4 linked regions of the Schizosaccharomyces pombe genome follow. The gene in region 1 interacts genetically with each later gene. Each region holds a gene or a part of one and is shown in the gene's direction. Other genes may lie near its edges. The genes, in order: wis1, ptc3, sds23 and isp6.

Evidence for each region.
Region 2: of wis1 (region 1) and ptc3, a mutation in one rescues a mutant of the other (synthetic rescue), as found in Schizosaccharomyces pombe (one study listed by BioGRID).
Region 3: of wis1 (region 1) and sds23, extra expression of one is lethal in a mutant of the other (dosage lethality), as found in Schizosaccharomyces pombe (one study listed by BioGRID).
Region 4: of wis1 (region 1) and isp6, changing one enhances a phenotype caused by changing the other (phenotypic enhancement), as found in Schizosaccharomyces pombe (one study listed by BioGRID).

What each region holds. Positions count from the first base shown.
Region 1 is NC_003423.3:1,143,231-1,149,801, reverse strand, and holds wis1 (MAP kinase kinase Wis1), read left to right. Parts: upstream 1-3,198; 5' UTR 3,199-4,017; coding exon 4,018-5,835; 3' UTR 5,836-6,071; downstream 6,072-6,571. Other genes in the region: ubiquitin hydrolase Uch2, read right to left, coding at 6,529-6,571. UniProt on the Schizosaccharomyces pombe protein: Dosage-dependent regulator of mitosis with serine/ threonine protein kinase activity. May play a role in the integration of nutritional sensing with the control over entry into mitosis. It may interact with cdc25, wee1 and win1. May activate sty1.
Region 2 is NC_003424.3:818,945-824,607, reverse strand, and holds ptc3 (protein phosphatase PP2C catalytic subunit Ptc3), read left to right. Parts: upstream 1-2,823; 5' UTR 2,824-2,903; coding exon 2,904-3,231; intron 3,232-3,479; exon of another isoform or gene 3,480-3,489; coding exon 3,490-3,563; exon of another isoform or gene 3,564-3,602; coding exon 3,603-4,445; 3' UTR 4,446-4,840; downstream 4,841-5,663. Other genes in the region: SPOM_SPAC2G11.09 (Ca(2+) transporter), read right to left, coding at 1-714, 824-869; smn1 (SMN complex subunit Smn1/Gem1), read left to right, coding at 1,759-2,119, 2,179-2,276; AAA family ATPase Vps4, read right to left, coding at 4,958-5,633. UniProt on the Schizosaccharomyces pombe protein: Dephosphorylating regulator for many key proteins. Has an important role in osmotic stability and cell shape control. It may negatively regulate the osmosensing signal transmitted through wis1 map kinase.
Region 3 is NC_003423.3:948,136-953,356, forward strand, and holds sds23 (protein sds23), read left to right. Parts: upstream 1-2,641; 5' UTR 2,642-2,688; intron 2,689-2,744; 5' UTR 2,745-2,745; coding exon 2,746-3,972; 3' UTR 3,973-4,157; downstream 4,158-5,221. Other genes in the region: origin recognition complex subunit Orc5, read right to left, coding at 4,681-5,221.
Region 4 is NC_003424.3:2,542,052-2,547,914, forward strand, and holds isp6 (vacuolar serine protease Isp6), read left to right. Parts: upstream 1-2,790; 5' UTR 2,791-3,298; coding exon 3,299-4,702; 3' UTR 4,703-4,930; downstream 4,931-5,863. Other genes in the region: mitochondrial serine/threonine protein phosphatase PP2C catalytic subunit Ptc4, read right to left, coding at 1-387; Myo3-like myosin II heavy chain myp2, read right to left, coding at 5,300-5,863.

The sequences.
Region 1 (6,571 bases):
GAAAGCAATTCATCCTTCCCTTTCCTTTTACAACGCTTTCACACACTTTACTTTACACTTACTTAGTAGTAGTACAAGGTTTGTTGTATTGCGCACTCGCGTGCTAACGAAAGCTAAAGAGGTCGATCCTACTGCTTTTTCGGCGGCACTAAATGTGCATGCGAAAAAATGGGCTGCAGTGGCTGCGGCATCGGCAGTTATTCTTCGGTACTTGTAGCCGGTATGTGAAGGTGTGAAGGTGTTTTGGAGTACAGGTGCAGATTGGACCAGAAAAATCATCAGGTAACATAAACATGGCATGGCATGGCATTTTGTTAGTCGGCAAAGCAATTTGGCCATGCAGCAATAGTATATGAGAAATAAACAAAATGTATTTGTATCGCCGAGCTCCTTTCCTTACGTTATTGTGCGAAAAACGATGCAAGCTTTGTCGGCAGTATTTCTCACTGTAGCGATACTGAGTGGGACGGTGTAAAATTGTGGAATGGGTATATGCTTTCTTTCATTATAATGCTTGTTCTATTGTACGTGCTATAGCTTTAGGGGAGAGGAATGAGGTTGTAATGGAGATGGAAAAGGGAAGAGGAATGAATGGTTGGAAATGGCTATAAAATGTTAGTAGTGGAAAAACACAAATCAATCACCTAAATTTTACAGACATGTTTGTCGCAGTACTAGATATTGTCGAATTTCCCTTTTTTTTATTCTTCACTTTCTCTCATTTTCCACATACAGGCAGACAAAGATCATCGCACAGTTTGATAAAGGTGCTAATCTTTCGCTTCCAGCAACACTGCATCACAAAAATGTCAAAAATGAATATTAGAAAAGGCAATAATAAAATCCTATATGAATCTACATTGAATGTCAATAATAAGTTGTTTATGAATGCCAATAATAAGCTCCTACATGAATGTAAATAATATACTTGTTTATAAATGTCAATATACGCTTCTATATCAATGTCAATCCATTTCAAACGTTTCTGTCAAAACATTTTTTAACAAGCTATCGTTACAATACCTTATAGCACCTTTCACTTTATGCTACAACCCTCCTACGACAATAACTAATACTGCTTCTCGCTCCTGTACTCCATTATATTGCTGCTCTTGTACTCGCGCATTGCACCATATCATTATACTTGATTACAATAAACTCGATTACCATTCCTACAACCTTACTAAACTAATAAACCCCAATTGCATATTCCAGTGCATGTCGCTATCGATTCATCGCTCATGTTACTTTCTTTTTACAGATCAAGGTAACGAACCGCTTCTTTACCGATCGCCATGTTTACTTGTTGGTCTTTGAACGATGGAAAATGTCTTTCTGCAAATAATCAGTCATCTTTTCACGCTTTTCTTTCTCTACTCAGTGTATTATAAGCGCTACCCTTTTATTCATTCTAACTATCAAAGAATTCCTTTTTCCTTTCCCCAAAAAACAACTACCATTCGTATGTACAGTCGTCTTAGTCTACTATTGTATGGTATGTGGCATACGCAGCCGTGGGTGCCAGCCAGCAACCATACCAAGTCAAAAATTTCTCTTATAGCAAATCAATTCTTCATTCAATTCAAATAATGTAAAAAAAAACGCATCTATAGAAACATACGATGAAACTTTTTAAATACAAACTAATAATGAAAATACTCGCAGACTAACAATGAAAATACTCCAAAATCTAATAAAGAATTAGCAATTTGGCATTTCATGAAACCGTAAAGCGTCAAACGAAATGAAATCTAATAAAATTAATAAAATTAAAATAAAATGCCTTCTTCTTCTTCTCAGTTTCATCGTATGATTTTCTCTTTTAATTTCTTCATTTTATTCCACTTTCCTTCTCTTCTTTAGTTTTTCCTCATTTTTGGATGTTGGGAATACAGCCTCTTTCTATCTAGTTTCATCTTCAGCCTTTTTCACCACATGTTCAATCATTCGACTCTTTCTGTATTCTTCTATCTCAATTGAACATTATTGAGTCTGTTTTAATGAAAATTTTTTTTGTCTTCCCTTGATGTTGGCGCAAAACTAGACGTTCCAAATTTTTTCTCATTAATAAAGGATTATCCTCAAATCGTTTTTATAGCCCCCTTTCTACTTTGTTCGAGCATACACCGTACATTATGCATTTGCATATAGATGGAGTGATCTAGGAACTTTTGTAAATTTTTTTCTCTTTGCTTGTTTTTCCTTCCTACGAAAGTTCTACCCCTTCGTTGCACTTTTCACTTCAGTGTCTTTTTCCATAGAACAAAATGTTCCTAGCAGTTTTGCTGCTACTCTTACATTATTTTTGTGTGTTTCCTTAAACAAAAGAAATTTAAAAAAATTAGAAAAAAAAAAAAAATTTAAAAATAAATAAATTTTTTTTTACGCTGCTTCTAGAGCACAAATAACACACTCTCTTCATTCCACTTGCTGAACCTTTTAACGATTATTAAAAAATGTTTTATTATACATTACTACACCTTTTCGAAACACTTGTGCGTTAACTCGCTTTTTTTTATCGCTCTCAAGGACGGAAGCTACTAGGTTAGTTATATTTCTCTTATTTATTTGGTTATACATTTTACCTTGGATCATGATTTTTCTTAGTATACATTGACATTCGAATACCAGCTTTGAAACTTAAAGCCCTATGCACCTAATCATTAATTATTTTTGTTTTTATTTATTTATTCTTTATTCTTTTCTAATCAAACACTACCATATCTATCGGACAATTCAATTCCTTCTGTCAAGACCGATAAATCGTTGTGTTTATCTTCCATTAAAATATTTTTCGGCCCTTTTTTTTTCTGTTTTTCTTTACTTCTATGTATTATTCTCTATACGTTGAGCATTTTACCCAATCATCCTGTGCTTTCCCATTAATCCATCGAGGTATTTCTTACCAGCTATTTCTGCCGTACATTCTTTCCATTTGCATATAAATCTCAGGATACCTTGTTAGAAATCTTGTCGAATGATTCATACAGGTCGTTACGCTTATACGGAGATCTGCAGCATATTATTTGGCTTCACGTTATTTTGATTTTACAAATTTGATTGTATCCCTTAACCATCCCTTGTTTTGATGAAACATTTTTTTATCCACGTTATCCTTATATACTGATACGTAAGCTAACGTGCAAAAGTTTCTCCTTAAGATTAAGCAACGTGTTGTCTGACTTTCGTTATCCTTTTATCCTTCACCAACTCCATCCCATTCCACCTTCTTGTATACCCAAACATACCCCAGCCGGCTGGCGATAGCTGGGATTCCTAATCTCTCAAGCATTCCCTTTCGACGTGTATATCTTATTTACATCGTACCGACTACACTTCCTATTTTATCACCCTCCCTAAATTTTCCCATTTCCTTTAAAGAGCAGAATTTTTTTTGCTCTTTACTGTAAGAGAAAAGCGTTTCTGAATTTTTTCTCTTCCTTCCACACCCTTACGTGTTATCTTTTAGAAAGATAATTTCAAATTTCTTTCCTTTTTATTTCGTGTTTGTGAATTATTACTTTTTCTCCTTACCTTTGCCTCCTTACTCGTCGGTCATAACTCGGTTTTAAAGTATTGACTTCTCGGACTAAGATTAACCCACACCTTTTTACTTTTTTTTCTTTAGTTCTCCTTGGGAAATTTATTATCTAAGCCCCTGTTTCTTCCAGTTTCTGGCTTTTGCTGTTAAATTTAAACCCTTCCAAACCTCCTTTTTTTCCGTGGCATTTACCTACACAAAGCTACTCGTAGGTGATTGCCTTTAAACTTCCTTTTTTTTTCTTGGAATATCCTTCCTGCGGACTTTTTAGACCACCGCTTTTTTTTTCCTTCTTCGTCGGAGACGACTCGTAATTGATTGTCTAATTTTAATTGTTCTTTTCACCCAAGATACCTTTTTTGTATTGCCATCTCACTTTCGTTCATCTTCACTTTTGCTTCATTTATATTACCGGAATTTAGTTTACCTAATTTTTTTTTCTTTTTTTTTAAGTTTGTGAAGCACATTTATTTTATATGTCTTCTCCAAATAATCAACCCTTGTCTTGCTCATTGAGACAGCTGTCTATTTCTCCTACCGCACCTCCCGGTGATGTTGGTACTCCCGGCTCGCTCCTTTCTCTTTCGTCTTCAAGTTCTTCAAACACCGATTCTTCTGGTTCTTCCTTGGGTTCCTTGTCTTTAAATTCTAACAGTAGTGGCAGTGACAATGACTCAAAGGTTTCTTCTCCTAGTCGTGAAATACCTTCCGATCCCCCTCTTCCCCGTGCCGTGCCTACGGTCAGACTTGGCAGATCTACGTCCAGTCGGAGTCGTAACTCTCTTAACCTTGACATGAAGGATCCTTCGGAAAAACCTAGACGTTCACTTCCTACAGCAGCTGGTCAGAACAATATTGGATCTCCTCCTACTCCACCGGGCCCATTTCCTGGAGGACTTTCAACTGATATACAGGAGAAATTGAAGGCCTTCCATGCATCTAGATCAAAATCAATGCCGGAAGTAGTCAACAAGATCAGTAGTCCAACTACCCCTATTGTCGGTATGGGTCAACGAGGAAGTTATCCTTTGCCTAACTCTCAACTTGCTGGTCGATTAAGTAATTCGCCCGTAAAGTCTCCGAATATGCCAGAGTCCGGGCTTGCAAAATCACTTGCTGCTGCTAGGAATCCTTTACTCAACCGTCCAACGTCCTTCAATCGACAAACGAGAATCCGTCGTGCACCACCTGGAAAACTCGATTTATCCAATTCCAATCCCACCAGCCCTGTCAGTCCGTCTAGCATGGCTTCTCGCCGTGGCCTAAACATTCCTCCCACCCTTAAACAGGCTGTTTCGGAAACCCCTTTTTCCACATTTTCGGATATTTTGGATGCAAAATCAGGCACCTTAAATTTTAAAAACAAAGCCGTGTTAAATTCAGAAGGTGTTAACTTTTCATCTGGCTCTTCGTTTCGTATTAATATGTCAGAGATTATTAAGCTTGAAGAACTTGGAAAAGGTAACTATGGTGTTGTGTATAAAGCATTGCATCAACCGACTGGTGTCACTATGGCCTTGAAGGAAATTAGGTTGTCCTTAGAAGAAGCAACATTTAATCAAATTATAATGGAATTGGATATTTTACATAAAGCAGTTAGTCCTTATATCGTTGACTTTTATGGTGCCTTTTTTGTGGAAGGTTCTGTTTTTATTTGTATGGAATATATGGATGCTGGTAGCATGGACAAACTGTATGCTGGTGGTATCAAAGACGAAGGAGTTTTAGCTAGAACTGCTTATGCTGTAGTGCAAGGCCTCAAAACTTTGAAAGAGGAGCATAATATCATTCATCGTGACGTTAAACCTACTAATGTTTTGGTAAATTCTAATGGCCAGGTTAAGTTATGTGACTTTGGCGTGAGTGGGAATCTTGTGGCTTCTATATCCAAAACGAACATTGGATGTCAATCTTACATGGCTCCTGAAAGAATTCGTGTTGGTGGACCTACCAATGGCGTCTTGACTTACACCGTACAGGCTGATGTGTGGTCTCTAGGCCTTACCATTTTAGAAATGGCTTTAGGAGCTTATCCGTATCCACCTGAATCATATACTTCAATATTTGCACAACTATCGGCGATTTGCGATGGCGATCCACCTTCTCTCCCCGATTCATTTTCTCCCGAAGCTCGTGATTTTGTAAACAAGTGTTTGAATAAAAACCCGTCTTTGCGTCCCGATTATCATGAGTTGGCTAACCATCCATGGTTGTTAAAATATCAAAATGCAGATGTGGACATGGCTTCATGGGCAAAAGGCGCTCTTAAAGAGAAAGGTGAAAAAAGAAGCTAAAGGTTCGCCTGCTTTCTAATTGCCTGCTCTGTTTTAAAGTACCCATGCGCATTGGTGTTTGTCTTTAATTTCGAATGCATGACTATTACGTGATCCATAATTATGTTTCAGCAGAACCGACGCTATTTTGCATTTGTGCTTTTTCATAAATTTAATAATTTGGGTATGATTCCGTATAACGGTAGTTGATGTTTGCATTTTTGCTTTAAATTAAAACGGGTATTTAATGTGTTATTACATTTGTTTAAGGCATTTACGTCCACCATAAAAAACTTTTTTTTTATTTAACTAAGGGGCTTTAGAAGTGCAAACGAAAGTTTGCAATTGTAAAAGTTACTTGTACTGTATTAATTTATTTCTTTTAAAACTTCGTTGACTGGCTCCGTCGTTTTAGCTACTATGATCTCCTGTTTCCTACAATGGTGATTACTTAGAGAGATTGAATCCATCGTAAATGCAAGTGTTAATAGATATTATATCGACCTAATAATAATTACTTAAACTATTAATATATTACTCAAAGAGATTTGAGGTATTCATTTATTTAAAAAGTACGAGACTTTTATATATCAAAGAAACAAATTCTCCCAACATAAGTCCAACAAGGTAATCTAGAGTCATAACAGATTTTTATCCTGGAAATGAAAATTCCTTCATAGTGGAATATTTTTTGAGAAAGAACGCCGTAATATATTACGGTCGCTTTTGAGATGCGTATTTCGCTTTTGCAGTTTCA
Region 2 (5,663 bases), on another chromosome or scaffold:
TTAAATTTTCCGTTGAACAAAGTTCATTAGGTAAACCAGATATAAAAACGGTTCTGTCCGTCAATCTATTTTGACGAGCCAGATATGATTGACGAATGTCAGCAATCGATTTTGTTGAGGAAAAAAGAACATAAAGAAGAAAAATGGAAATAAAGTAAGTAAAAAGAACGTAAAGATAGAGAAATCCATCACCAGGCTGTGGAAGACCTGGTATATCAGATAAATTACCAATTGGATTAAATAAAGAAGGTCCTAACACACCAACATTTAACTCACTACCATTAGCAATAATAGGAGATTGTACAATTGACTTCTTGACAAGTGGACTTGAGAAGAAATATTCAGATTTGGCAGGCATCGACAAAGTAATATTCCCGAATGCATCTCCACGAAAATGCTTATTGACGGGCATAATAATCAAAACGCCAAGCAGGGAAGCAAAAGAAAGGAATTTTATACCCATTTTAAAAAACAATAAAAAAACGTAGCCGTCCAAACCAGCACAATTTTGCACTACATCATCAGGGATGTTTACTAAATCCATTAACCATTTGTAGTACGATGAAGAAAGTGTAGGTAAATTGAGACCTTCAATGGTAGTTCTAGGGGCATATAGTACTTTCCATCTTTTACGAAAGAAGCAAAAGAATACGCATGCAGAGGCTCCAAGTAAAAAGGCGAGCCAAAATTGAGTTCTTAAATCGCTCGATGGATCTGTTTTCAGCGATGAATCTCGAATCTGTAGGAATTAACACCCGCAGATCGAAGATTCAAACAACGTTAGCAATTTTGTTACAAATGAGGGAAGGATAGGTATACTTACTTTTTCTAGGATCACTGTCGAAAATACCATATCCATTGAAAGCCATTATTGCAAAGTAGCAAACTTAAGGGTCCTTTCGTCAAATTATCGAGGAATGAATGAACGATCGTTTCAGAAAATCGAGAACAAGAAAAATCTGATCTATCCAAGTATTATATGCATGTAAAAAGTAACGGAAAAAGGAAATTATCAAAAGATACACTATTGAAATATGTTATGATAGTTTTTCATGAACGAAAATCTTTAAAATATGAATGTATGTAGAGGAGGGATAGTAGAACGATACTCATCCAATACCCATTCGCATGGTCTTTCAGAATGCGATATGTACTTAACGTAAATTAAGATGACGATGCATAAAAATATGTAACGTAATTACGTGGAGCTACCTTAAATTCAATTAGGTAGTTTAAAATCTATCCCAGAAAGCTAACTTACTGAGAAGTCCTCGCTAAACCATATTAGCGCATGTAGCATTTAATGAATTATTCGTGTGGATATTAGATAACTGATTTAGGTTGATTTTTGTAGCTTATACAATTCCTTTTTCTTTTTGGTATAATAAAGCCAAAATCGTAAACAAAGATGAATTGGAATAAACATTCTTTCACAATACTTCCACGAGTTCACATCGCCATGTGCGAACCTCGTTATATCTTTGACCTCGAATTCTTGTAGTCCTGTCCACTAAGGCGGCTGATAGTTAAGGCAAGGAGCTAAGTTACCACAGCAGATTATAATTGTTGTAGTAAGCGGAATCGCCGAGCTCAAACTGTTTATCGTTATACGCGTTGTGCTTTATAAACAATATTTTCACTTTAATAATATTCAATTAATATAAGAGTTAACAAAGTTGGAAACTACTTGTTAATAAAGCTTTCTTAAGGTACAAAGAAAGACATACAGGAATAGATTATCTACAACTTGTACCAAAAATGGACCAGAGCCAAAAAGAAGTGTGGGATGATTCAGAGCTCAGAAATGCCTTTGAAACCGCTTTACATGAATTCAAAAAGTATCATAGTATTGAAGCAAAGGGAGGAGTATCGGACCCGGATTCTAGGCTAGATGGTGAAAAATTAATTTCAGCTGCACGGACAGAAGAATCAATAAGTAAGCTAGAAGAAGGTGAGCAGATGATAAATCAGCAAACAGAGACGACATTGGAAGGAGATACACATATCCAACAGTTTGCAGATAATAAAGGCCTTAGCGACGAAAAGCCTGAAACAAGGGCAGCAGAGACACATCAAGAGTTTATGGAAGTTCCTCCCCCTATAAGAGGGTTAACATATGGTAAGTAAAAGGTCTTCTAAGAAAATTTATGACTCTCTATTATTAACATAATGATTTAGACGAGACTTACAAAAAGCTTATCATGAGCTGGTACTATGCGGGCTACTATACAGGTTTAGCTGAAGGACTTGCTAAAAGTGAGCAACGTAAAGATTAGCTTCTTGTGCTATTTTTCAAAGTTATGTATATCTTCATTGTTGATGTTGTTATAAAACTGTTATCCTACTTGCTATTGCTAAGATTTATTACTCCTATCAAATAGTTCTATTTCAATTTTCTTTCTAATAAGTAGAATTTATTTGGTCATTTATTAAATCCAATGGAATTTTTAATTGAATCAAAATAATATCATTTTTGCCTAATAGAAATTTTTTCTGAATCAAGTTGCTGAATTTGTTGGGGCATTCTACTCAGCGTTGTTTTTGTCTCTATTGTAGTCATAGTAAAATGCAAACCATTGAAAAATCAATTTATAGGATATGCTATGTTTACACATGTTTTTTAATGAACATTTGAAATTTATAAGTATTTAGTCCTTGATACCATTTATTCTGTTGTTTACATATATGCCTTGACTACTGCTAATCTTGTTACCTTCCATAGTCTTTTAACAACTATCGTTCGTCTCCACGGTGGTGATGTAGTTGTAGAGGGTGCCACAACACTCCCTCCGACAAGCTCCACCACCTACTAGCGATTTACCTATCACTACTACATAACCCGTTTTGAAGCGACACAAAAAGAAAACGTGAAAATTTGTGTCATCTATTAGCAAGAGCTGTCAATGGGTCAGACATTATCAGAGCCAGTCACCGAGAAGCACTCGGTGAACGGGAGCAATGAGTTCGTCCTTTATGGACTTTCAAGCATGCAAGGATGGCGTATCTCAATGGAAGATGCTCATTCTGCTATACTTTCAATGGAGTGCTCTGCAGTAAAAGACCCGGTCGACTTTTTTGCGGTTTATGACGGCCACGGTGGAGACAAAGTCGCGAAATGGTGTGGAAGCAATCTTCCTCAGATTCTTGAAAAGAATCCTGATTTTCAGAAAGGCGATTTTGTTAATGCTTTGAAATCTTCATTTTTAAATGCTGATAAAGCTATTTTGGATGGTAAGTTTGTTGTTAACAATGATAAAGTTGTTTTCATTGATATCATAACCATTTTAAAGTCGCCAAAAAATTGATGAATTTTGTGTTTGAAATTTTTATAGATTTTTTGTTCTTTTGTCTAGTTAATGCTTAGAAAAATTGTTACCAAGATAATAGAAATGTTTACCTCTTGATGTTGAAAAGTTGTTACATTTAGTTTGGTTTCAGAAAAAAAATTTGTCATTTCACTACATTGCATTTTGCTAACTATTTTGACAGATGATCAATTTCATACGGATCCATCAGGTTGCACGGCCACTGTTGTTCTTCGTGTTGGAAATAAACTTTATTGTGTAAGTCTTGGAAGTTGTTTAGTCTTACTAATTGTGTAGGCTAATGCCGGTGACTCAAGAACTGTCCTTGGCAGTAAGGGAATTGCAAAACCTCTATCAGCAGACCATAAGCCTTCAAATGAAGCCGAAAAAGCCCGTATTTGTGCGGCTGGTGGCTTTGTAGACTTTGGCCGTGTAAATGGAAATTTGGCTTTGTCAAGAGCTATCGGTGATTTTGAGTTCAAAAACAGTAATTTAGAACCAGAAAAACAAATAGTTACTGCCTTACCGGATGTTGTTGTACATGAGATTACTGACGATGATGAATTCGTCGTACTCGCTTGTGATGGTATTTGGGATTGCAAGACTTCGCAGCAAGTGATCGAGTTTGTTAGACGTGGCATAGTTGCTGGAACCTCTCTTGAGAAGATTGCTGAAAATTTAATGGATAACTGCATAGCCAGTGACACCGAAACTACCGGCCTTGGTTGTGACAACATGACTGTTTGTATAGTTGCCTTATTGCAAGAAAACGATAAATCAGCATGGTATAAGAAGATTGCAGATAGAGTTGCCGCTAACGACGGACCCTGCGCTCCTCCTGAGTATGCCGAAAATCATGGCCCAGGATGGCGTAGTGGCGATAACAATAAGAAAGTTATTGTCCCACCTAATTTTCATCAAGTAAAGTTAAATGGATCTGATGGATATGACAAAGATGCGAATGAAAATTCTAAGGAAGATGATTCCACCAACGGATCCCTTGCAGCTGGGTTCAGATGGAAAGAACACTTTTTCCCTCATAAAGCCGAGGAGGAAAATTCTTCAAGTGAAACCGATATCGTAAATTCTAACAAAGATGTTGCGGATGATCATAAGGAGGCTGTGTCTGCAGCAGATTGATTATTCCCTACTTCACGCATATTACACAATGTAACTTGCTTTTAGGAATATTCCTCGTAATTAGCATTATTTGTTGACTTATTATAAAAGTCACGCTAGGCGGTTTTGTTTCAACATTTTTTCATGCTTTTCTTTTGTTGTTCGTATAATACGTGCCTGCGACGTATACCGATTACCTCCGAGAATGAAAAGGTTTTTGGTACGTTGCTACTTTGCACTTTTTGATAGCATGCGATTTCTATATCAATTTTGTCGAATACTGTCTTTTATAATCCTGATTCAAAATCAGTTAAGATTATGGAAAATATTTCTCTGGCATGAGTAAACATACCCAGACTAATTTCCGATTGCCCTAATAGATATTGTCGAAGCAATATACATTCCCTTCAATATTCTACTAGTTCCATAATTTACTAAAGTGATTCAACATTTGTGAGTGTAGTCATGATATTATACTTCTTTACAATAATGGTATCATTAAACTAAGCGAAAATAGCTCCTTTATCATATTACTATCCCTCTGCTCCAAAGTCCTTTGTAAATTGTGTGTGCTTTTCTATATCACCAGCATTAAGCGTAGGCTTGACTTTACGAACTGCACTGTAGAAATCTCGAACAGTAAGTTTTGGTTCCATAATGTCTTCAGGATTCACCTCTAGCCAACTAGATTCAAATGCATCAGGATCACCAGGAGAACAAGGAGTTACAAGGGTCCTATTAGACTTGTTATCATATACCTCTTTGAAATGGGTAGCTGTGTGAATTCGTCTTACAGGCTCCATTATTGCATCACGAACAACAATAGAAATATCTGAACCCGAGTAGCCATCGGTCATTTTAGCAAGTTCTTTGAAATCTTGTGAGGTCAGTTCCGAAGGTATTTTACCGACATTAAGCTCGAACATCCGAGCGCGGGCATGAGCATTAGGCAGGGGAATGTAAATACGCTTTTCGAAACGTCGGCGAATAGCAGAATCAAGAGTCCAAGGAATATTCGTGGCACCCAGAACCAGAACTCCACTTTCATCCTTTCCAACTCCATTCATTTGTACCAAAAATTCTGTCTTAATCCTTCGAGAAGATTCACTCTCACCTTCGCTTCTGCTTCCGCACAGTGAATCGATTTCATCAATGAAAATGATAGATGGTTTTTGTTCACGCGCCATTTCAAAAAGTTGACGAACAAGCCTATAATGTTAGTCATGTAAATATTAAAGA
Region 3 (5,221 bases), 190 kb from region 1:
ATTTTATAGTCTTTAAAAGCGTCTTTGAGGATTTCTGTATGTACGAAGTCTTGGGTAGAAAGGCCGACCAAAGGGTAGCGACTATAAGCGATGTAAGGTTTAATGATGTGGAAAAAAAAAATGCCGACTTAGTGAAAGTAAATATGTTACAATACAAAGTGGTGAATTAAAAAAAAAAAAAAAAAAGAGAGAGAAATGTAGAAATTTTATACATGAGAATATGTTAAACAAAGGACAAAATCTAATAATGTCTGCTTAAGACTGGTAGGTACATGTCATAGAAATAATTTACAACGTATATCAATTAATTCAATTGAGAGAATATCTAGTACGAAACGTTAAGTGCTTGTTTAATATGCGCCTGAAGTTTTTGTTTGGCTTGAGCTTTGTTTACATAGCAAGGACAAGACAGAAGCTATTATGGTATTTAGTGGAAATTCATTGTTTAATAAAGTGCGCAGCATTATATCAGATTTCCAACGTATTTTAATATTCGATAATGTATTAATGATCAATTAAAGAAACTCTAACTAATTTTTCAATTGGTAATTCGTTATTTGTAATGATTCATTTATAGATTTATTTTATTTTTTTTTATTTTTTTTTTAATTTTTTTTTTACACTAAGCTACTGGCAGTTTGTACGTTAAGCAAATACAAAGTCGCACGTGGGTGTTTTACCAAAAAGAATTGCGAGTGAATAGGATAAAATGGACGATGAATTTGTAGATTTTTTTTACTACAATTAATCAATGAAAGGAGTAAAAATTTAAAAAAAAAAAATAAAAAATAAATAAAAAATAAAATTAAATAAAGGACAAGATGAAAACTTATTATATGAATTATGGATTTACTTTATTTTATGCTCTTACAAACCGTAACTGGACTGCTGGAATTTCTTCTACTAGATGAGCGTCTATTTGTGTCCTATATATTTAAATTTTATTTTCTCAAATTACATATATATATCAATATGTTATTTCGATTATTTTCGATTTTAATTTTGATATTTTGGAAATTCACTTTATCTTCTACATAATCGCATTTCCTATATCAATCATCATCATCATTTGGACATCTTGGATCCGCTAATTATAGTAACGTTGTATTTTCACTTCATATATCACACTTTACCATTTAACTTTCTTATGGTACGTCGAGTGAGACACAATCGATACCTTGTGTTCTTCAATAGCTATTCCCACAGCACATGAGTCTTTTTACGTAACCCAATAACCTCTTCCCCGGAGTGATCTGTAGCGGACCATTTACTCAATATTGAAACTTTTTAATTACCACGTTGAATCACAAATTGCCAACAAAACACAAGCGCTTTATTTATTAAACGCATCTGACGTTTCAGTATGTGAATTTCTATTACTAGTAGTATGGTATTTTGTCGCACTTCAAATTTGGCCACCGTTACTATATGAGACGAAGCAATACGTAGCAGTAATGTATTTAGTACTCATTTATCAATGAAAAAGATCAAAACAAGAGATTAACTGAGTGATATTCAATAGGATTTGCTAAGTGAAGAGATGATCAAACATTTAATGCTGACTTGGTCATCTCCAACCTATATTACATAGATTTGATTTCTCCATGTTTGGGGAGAGAAATTAGACGAAGGGGTGGATTTTCATTCGTTTCTTCGACAAATAAGTCTTGAGCAAAAGTCCACTCAAAATTCGAATGATGTATAGCGCTATAGCAGTGGTAGAAATATCTGTTGTTTATGATTGCCAATTTTGCTAAGCAATGGTAATGATGATCATCTGTGTAAGTACTATGTATAATAATTAGAGAACTGAGTACCCAATATTATAGCATGCATTATTATGCTTACAGTACGAGATTACTCTCAAACTAACTAATAAAATTAATTACTTGATGACTTGACTTATCTATTCTCCTGCCAAATTATCAAACAACATAAAGAGTAAATTTTAATTTTTTTTTCAAGATTGGGTAGATGCTGTTCGGTATCGCAACGTTGAATTATGTATGTTTCATACTGCGTCTTAATATTATTTAGTACATATGAATGTGTTGACTTTGTTCATCCATAACTCTAATTCAAAAGCATTTTTAACAAACAAAGCGCTTTATTGCTCCATAGGCGCGCCTCGTTTCATCTAATCACTTCATCGTTGCACACAAATTTTTGTTTGCCTTTTTGCAATGACAAAATTAGGATTTTGTTGTGCAAAACCGACCTACACTGCATCTACAACTAGAGCAGCTGCCCCACTTTCCCACTTTATGAACAAGGAAAAACGTCCGATTAACCGCTTGGCTATTTTTCTCTCATACTAAATCCATCCTTATGTTTAATTTTAATTTTTAAATTTTTAAAAAAGAATAAAAATTTTTTTGCCTAGTTTTACCTTGCTGGGATGAAAGCGGGCAAGCAATGAAATAGTGGTTGATTGTGATGTAAATACTGAAATCGCAGATTATGAAATTTTTAACTAGGCCACATACATGGTGGATTAATTAGGTAGACGGTGGTATACGGCGGGATTTACAGAGATCTCAGTCTAATGTGGTAAAGAGGTCGTGGATTAAAAAAGCCTTACCACTGCGTACCCCTATTTCGTTGTATCACTAGGTACTTCCGTCACTGCCTACCTCAACGCTATCCAGAACCACACACTGACCTAGATTTGACAAACTGCACGGTACAGTAAGTTTTGTTGTATGCAGAGGAAAGAAAGAGATTTTAACTGGAAAACTGTATAGAATGCCTTTGTCAACTCAATCGTCTGATTCTTTATCGAGCGCTGGACGTCAGTCCTTTGGCGTGAACTCGGTCTCAGATTTTTTGGCACAATTTCCCATTCCCACTAATCTTCCTTCAAATAAATGGCAAGATATCCCTGTAACATTTCTTCATGATAATGAAATTGCTCTCATAGACCCGGAAACTTCCATGGAAGAGGCAAGTTCCATTTTGATCGACCGAGATCTTAGCGCCTTGCCTATTGTTGCTGCTAAGGGAAGCAACGAGATTGCTACGACCTTTGACTATGCAGATCTTAACTCATTTTTGCTCATGGTAGTGGGTTTTGATGATTTCAATGATGGCAGGTTTAAAAAGGTCGCTGAAGATATTCGTGCTGGAAAAGTCATTACTGCTTATGAGGTTGCAAAACTCGGGAAAAACAAGGATGACTTTATCACCATCCCTCACACCACCAGCCTTGGACGTCTCGCTGAGATTCTTTCTTCCGGTATTCGTCGTGTTGCCGTCACTAACGAACAGGGTGAATTGAGCTTTATGGCTTCTCAGCGCTCTATCATCCGCTTTTTGTGGAATAATATTCGTGCGTTTCCCGATTTGGAGCCTCTAATGTCCAGGACAATTCACTCTTTGGACATTGGAAGCACTGACATCACCTGTATCTCTGGAGATCAAAAAGTCGCCGCGGCCTTGCGACAGATGAATCAAACCGGTATTGGTTCACTTGCTGTTGTCGATGCTCAATTCCGGTTACTTGGCAACATATCTCTCGTTGATGTTAAATACGTTACACGTTCTTCTTCTGTCTATTTGTTAAACAAATCATGTGCTCACTTTTTGAGTGTCATTAAAAGCGAACAGGGTATCCGCGCTGGTAAGGATAGTGCTCCTGCTTTTAACATCTATGAATCCTCTACTTTTGCTTTTACGTTGGCTAAGTTGGTGGCTACCCAATGTCATCGTCTTTGGCTTGTGCAGTCACCTTCCTGCCCTCCTTCCCCAAAAAATAACGCACATCTTTCCCCTGGATCCATGGGTGGTGTTAAGGTCAATCAATTGTTGGGCGTTGTTAGCTTAACTGATATCATATCTGTTTTATATGCTCACATGAAAGGCACTCTTCCACCCGCTCCCCATAGTGCTCCTTCGCTTAGACATGGACGTCGAGGAAGCACAAGCAGCCATCGTAGCCATAGCAAAGCTAGTGTAGATACACAACGTCGGTGATGCTAAATATTTGATGATTTGAAACACCCTTTTTTCTTTTTCTCATTTGAACCTCCGTTTTATTTCATCTTTTACTGTTACCTCTAACATTCCATATTTCATGAACGGGTTTTGATACTTATTTTTAATCATCTTTAAATGGATAAGATTTTGGTTAAATCTCCAATGATTTCTTATTAACCATTAAAAATATACTTTTACTTATGTTTTGACGTTAACTGACGGACGCTTTTCTTTATACATATGTTCTTATTAATGAATTGTCTCCCGTTGTTGATTTACACGGCAGCAGAGTAGCTCTTTCAGAGGGTTAACTTTTATATCAGAGTTATGATTGAAACTTTGCCTCTTGATATATATTATGTATCCATCTTAGCAGCACATTACTTTATTTTTTTGTCAAGAGTGTTTTCGGCGCTAGTTTTTGCTTTTTACAGCTTTGCCAACTTCCATAATGTTAAATACGTAACAGTTTACACAGAATCACAGAGGCGTAATCGAATTGTTTGTAGTGTACATTTTCTTTTATTTTCCAGAAGTAACAAAAAAAAATATGTTTTTTAAGTTTTGGGCCCTTTAAACAGTAAAATAACATGTTATGGGGAGATAGAATGGATGTTCATATAGTTCTGTATAAATTAATGAATTGTGACAGAACTACGATATTCAAAATTTCAGTAATGCAATAAAATAAACCATAATACTAAGCTATCCCGCCAAATAACTATCGAGAGGAAACGAAAGTGAATCTGCGATTTTTAATACATATTCGCGAGAGACATTGACAATGTATCTAGGGCTATCCAAAGAGCGAAGCACACCTTTGGAAGCCGAAAGTATCATTTTTAAGGAGGCGAGTGTAGCTATTTGAACAAAAACATCAGCGGTCAGAACTTTCTCTACCGGGGAAGAAATGGCATAATAAATAGCAATCAACCTTTCTACTTCAAAAGGTTTAGGTCCTAATGTAAGTTGGGATATTTTTACAGCAGACCGGCCTTTGCTCCCAGCGGTTCTTGGTATTTTGGAAAATAAAACCCCTTCATCTTGAATTTGTTTACGTTTTCTTCCACGTCGTTTCGAAGTTTTAGAAAATGAAAAAAATTGGGCGTCTAACCGGCTTGGATTATAAGATGCTAGGAATGCAGAAACGAGTAAATATTTGGAAACGAGCGACAAGTTAATAGATTTGGAATCAAGAAGATTTTTTATTTCAGTCGGGTTGATTATGTGAAGTCTTTTAGTAACC
Region 4 (5,863 bases), on another chromosome or scaffold:
CACGGAATGGACTTCCTTCAGGATTTTCTCTGTATCATTTAAATCTTGATTTTCAATAATCTTCCCCAAGTTGGTGGAAAGAAACTCACTACACTCAGTACCTCCGTGACCGTCGAAAAGCCCGTAGAAAAAAGGACTATCTCTGTTAGTAGTATCTTTTAGGTTATTTAAGTAGCCGTAAGCCATACGGTCTTGATTTGTCGGCGAATCTCCTCTAGCGGTACATAATCCAAGACTCTGAGGTGCTTTGTTCATACTTATCTTCAGGTAGGGACCATTGGAGGGACTATAATACTGAATAAAGGATCGATAGAAATAGTTTTTTGAGCAATAGGCATTTTGAATATATAGAGGTGCCCGTAAACGTTTAAGAAAACGGATCGACATGTATTAATGGAGAAGGATTCTCAAACGTGAATCGCTTGAGATGGTAACTTCGCGGCGTGCAAAACAAACCGTGCAAGAAACCGGTAATTTCTAGTAAATTTTGCTAAAAAAAGATTAATGATCAAAGGATTAGAGGAAAGAAAGTTTTCTTTCCTACAGATATTGAAGCTTCCAGACGCTTTGCTTGAAAGCCGAGGTAAATTTCCAGTTTAAGGCTAACTCGAAATACCAAATAACAGGGGATTTTAAAAAGAGTTCAGCATACACCAACAAGGAGAAAGTCTTACACGATTCTATACAAGCGGTGTAAAGCATATAGTGTGTTAAAACGAACCCTGTAATACTATGCAAACAAATGCGTTAAAGCACGATAAAAGAAGTTAAGGAAGATATGTAATGAAAGGAAGGCTGTGAGCATTGTAGGGATAGTTCGTTTGATGAGCATGTCTTTATTTCATTTTCGTTAATATTTCAATTTTTTTTGGTTGGTTTGAGGGGGTGGATTCTACCAACCACTTTCATTTTTCCTATCCAAATATGTTTTTTACTTTTCTATCTTATTTTTTCACTATAGCACATTAGCACTCTAGATTATATTGCTTTGTTAGAGCAAAACAGATGGAGTATATAGCTTATCGACGACAATTCAATTCAATTCAATCCAACCATCAGAGAAATCTGACTATGTTACTCTTTAGTTTATTCCTAATAAGCGCTGCTTGAATAAAGTGATAAGTGCAACAGCTCCGATGATGGCAAGATATTTAGCGATTAGAGATTGTTTCGTTTCCAAAGTACCAAGTACTTATAACGAAATATATACAAAAGCTCCCAAATTCAAAATTGCTGGGTGTACGGCGCCACCAAAATACAGAACCGTCATTCATTTGTTCCAATATAACGCCATTGTTCTCTGTATTGTTTGCTAATTGTTTCAACTTGTTGAACTATTAGTGATGGTCTAGTCCAAACGACACCTGGAATGAGAGCGCATTGATGAAAGAGCTTCAACACAGCGCCCAATCTCTCTTACTGTGGGAATCTCAAACATTGTCAATGTTGTCACATGTTGTTTGTTCGTATACAAAGAAATGCAAATGCCATCCACGCATTCTGTTCATCATTAAAACTCTTTGATTAAATCCCTTGTACTGCATTAAATTTCATGGCTGCATAGAAGAAAAGTTACATAGGAAAGAGCCAGCGATTGCTACGAATACTCGCTCGATCTCACTCCACAGGCTGTTTCTTTAACAATTTATATAAGAATATACAAATAAGTAAAGTTTCATAGAAAAGAAGAAATGGATTTTATAGTGAAAATGGGGAATTTTAAAGTCCCTCATTGCTTCATCTAGCAACTCTTTCTTATATACAATAACCGAAATACGATGCATCGGTAATTAACTGTTTACGCACACACAATCTCTCAATCTTCTCTCCTCTAAAATAAATGTCTCCAACCAATTTGTTGATAAAGATAGAATGGCTGTTGTAATGTAGCAAACACTTATCAGGGGATGGATGGATGGATGGATGTTTTTCATCAAGCACTTGTTTACATGAGTGGGCGTTAGCTGAACACCGAGAGTCATGTTCATTCAATTGTGCTAGTGTTTTATAATTTATTTGTTTTCGTTTCAGTTTACTGTTTGTGTAGAATGAATACTAGTCATGAAAGGAAAGAATAAACCTTTCTGAAAATGAAATGACATTGAGTGCATATTGTTGAATATGGATATGCTGTTGCTTCCATACATTTGGAAATTTTGCAAACCTCTTTTTTTATGTATGTCCCGATCAATGTGTGTATCCGTGGATTACCAAGTTATCAGTGAATCGGCTTCCGTTCCTCCATATCTTTGAATTGCTCTTTTTTCTGCCCTAAGCAGCGCAATGCGCATGAAGCGTTATCATTCAATGTACCGAACAGAGTGGCAGTTGAGTGGCCCTTACCAATCCGGCCTTTCAAAGTTTATCTAAGAACCACTTGTTTGAGCTTATCGACCAATCACAGGCAATGGATCACCGTTCCTCCACTAACCACCTCGTATCGCTAGATTAGAGGGGTGACGTCAAGTGAACATATCGTGACTCGTTAAGTCAGCCAAGTAACGAATTGCGAAAGGGAGGGCGCGCTTGAGAAAGTGCTAATACAGCGATGCATGCAGAACAGTGGCATTTGACGAATAATCAAGGGAGAAAGCAGAGAAGTAAATGAACAGAATTTTTTTAAAAAAAATTATATTACAATTGAATTGAATGGATTTGGAATTGAGTTTTGCCTGCTTTTTTACGGAATCTCTGCTTCTATCTGTCCAAACTCCCTTTGTTGATGTTCGAGGGTTAGGGTACGGGTGGTGGATAGACTATATAAACGAAAGAGGTAGCCCCCATTGAGTCGTGTATCAGTACGCTCCTCGTTACAAAGTCAAACGTCTTAGAACAAGTTGCATTGGAATTGAATTTACCAGTGCCACTAGTTTTGATTTTGTTTCATTCACAGTCGTTTTTTTTCGCTTTGTGTTTTTCATTTGCTTGCAATTTTTTATTTTATTAAAGTAATTGTTAGAGAATTATTATAGTTTCTTTCTCCCTTTCTTTATAATAACTCTTAATCCCATTGTTCGCCCATATACTACTTACTATAGTTTGTATATAGCCCACAATTCTTTTTTTTTTTCTTTTATTCATCTCTCTCGATTTCTTCCTATCTGAACTTGGGATAGATAGTTAGTTTTTCAATAGTCTTTGTCATCTGTTTTCCTTGTCTTTCTTTCATAAGTAAACACGGAACAACGATACTTGCCTACTGTTCAGCAATCTCAGCAATTTAACCGCCTTCAATCACTACCCCAACCACAATCACAATCACTTCCCCCTCCAACAGCCTCGTCTTCTCAGCATCAACATGAGAATTCCTTATTCAAATCTTTTTTCTGCCGCCGCAGGTTTGGCCCTCTTCGCTTCTACTGCCTGTGCTGCACCAGTGATGCCAGCGACTGATTCGGACATTGCCCATGCTGGTATCCGTCCTGAGCTCGATAACGCTTTCTACGACTCCCACGGCGAAGCCGCTACCCCTAAGCACAAACCTCATGCTGGTCCTAATGCCGCTCCTCTCTTGTCTGCTTCCAACGCCGATACCACTGGACTGGACTCTCACTATATCATTGTTTTGCAGCCTGATTTGAGCGAACAAGAATTCCAAGCCCATACTAATTGGGTCTCGGAGATGCACCAAATGGACATTGCTTCTCAAGAAGATGAGTACTACGATACTAGTGATAGTAATTACATGTTTGGCTTGAAGCATGTTTATGACTTTGGCGAGGACTCTTTCAAAGGTTATTCTGGTCAATTCAGCTCTAACATTGTTGAGCAAATTCGCTTGCATCCTCATGTCATCGCCGTCGAGCGTGATCAAGTTGTCAGCATTAAGAAACTTGAAACTCAAAGTGGCGCTCCTTGGGGACTTGCTCGCATCTCTCACAAATCCGTCAAATACGATGATATTGGCAAATATGTTTACGATTCCAGCGCTGGTGACAACATCACCGCTTATGTTGTAGATACCGGTGTAAGCATTCATCATGTTGAGTTCGAAGGTCGCGCTTCTTGGGGTGCAACCATTCCCTCTGGTGATGTTGATGAGGATAACAATGGTCATGGTACGCATGTTGCTGGTACCATTGCTAGCCGTGCTTATGGTGTTGCAAAGAAGGCTGAAATCGTTGCTGTCAAGGTTCTCCGTTCCAGTGGATCTGGTACCATGGCTGATGTGATTGCCGGTGTTGAGTGGACTGTTCGTCATCACAAATCGTCCGGCAAGAAAACCTCTGTTGGCAACATGTCTCTTGGTGGCGGCAACAGCTTTGTTTTGGATATGGCTGTTGATTCTGCCGTTACCAACGGTGTTATTTATGCCGTTGCTGCTGGAAATGAGTATGATGACGCTTGCTATTCATCTCCTGCTGCTTCTAAGAAAGCCATCACCGTTGGCGCTTCCACTATAAACGACCAAATGGCCTACTTCTCTAACTATGGTAGCTGTGTTGACATCTTCGCTCCTGGACTTAACATTTTGTCTACATGGATCGGTTCAAATACTAGTACTAACACCATCTCTGGTACTTCTATGGCAACCCCTCATGTTGCAGGTTTGTCCGCTTACTACCTTGGCCTACACCCTGCTGCCAGCGCTAGCGAAGTTAAAGATGCTATCATTAAGATGGGTATTCACGATGTACTCTTGTCTATTCCTGTTGGTAGCAGCACTATTAACCTTCTCGCTTTCAATGGTGCTCAAGAATAGATTTTACTTCATGTTGGATGCATTCGATGTTTTCAATAAGTCGGTGTTTGATTTTCAATACATCGAGTAATTGTTTTATTTTTTTGAAAACGTTTGCTCCTTTTATGATTGTTCTTTACAAACAGTTTATAATGATTGTTATGACAATAAATATTTTATAATGCAAGCCACTGAATCACGTTTAGAATTTTTATACTTGAATGAAATTTTTTTGTGATGTTCTTCCAACTTACAATGTTAAAGTGTAATTGTAAATGTCCTCTTCTTTTATTTGTATTTGTATTTATATTTGTGCCGCTGTTATGCAAGAGCTCTTCTACATTTAATATCGCCGCCTATCTCTTCATAGTTTTCTTTTACAATGTGATTGCTGCATATAACCATTGTACAAATAATAGGGGTAAAATAAAAAGTAAACCGAACTAAAATGCCTTTTACTTGACCGACTTACTTTTTTTTTTGAACTAAAGTATCCTTGTGGTTACTTGTTACGTTGACGCAGAGCATAATAATAGTAATAATAAAATAATTTTAAATTCATGAACTAATAATTTACATCATCTTAAAAAATACATGTCGAGTCTTTGGGAAGCTTGGCTACCTTAGAACGCTAGGCGAACGATTGGACCTCATGGATAATCTACTTTCACTTCTCTTTACTCTTTGACCCTCCAGCAAAGATCTATATTTATCAAAATCGGTTTCCAAACTTTTGACGCGTTCACGCTCTTCTTGAAGAGCATGTTCCGTCCGACGTAGTGCAAATTTCCATTGTGTTTCTGAAGCTTGCACATCTTCTAATTGATTTCTCAGTTGCGCATTTCTTTCCTCCAAACGAGAAACTGAGCTCTGTATTCTCTTTTTATCATCATCAAATTTTGATATTTGAGCTTCCAGTTGACGGATAGTCCTATCGCGATTGCGACATTCATCAATTCCTTTAATTCGTTCGATGTCGGAAGCAGCAAACGATGCTTCCAAATCTGATATTTGCTTTTGTAGCATTCGGACGTCCTTTGATGTTGATATGGGATAAGTTTTAAGATCTAAATCAAACAATTTGAGCTCCAAATCCTTTTTCTCCTTTTGTAAAACTCCGAGTTGACGATGCAGTTGAAGATTTTCTTCTCGATGATTATTACTATCTTTTTGAGTTTTTAG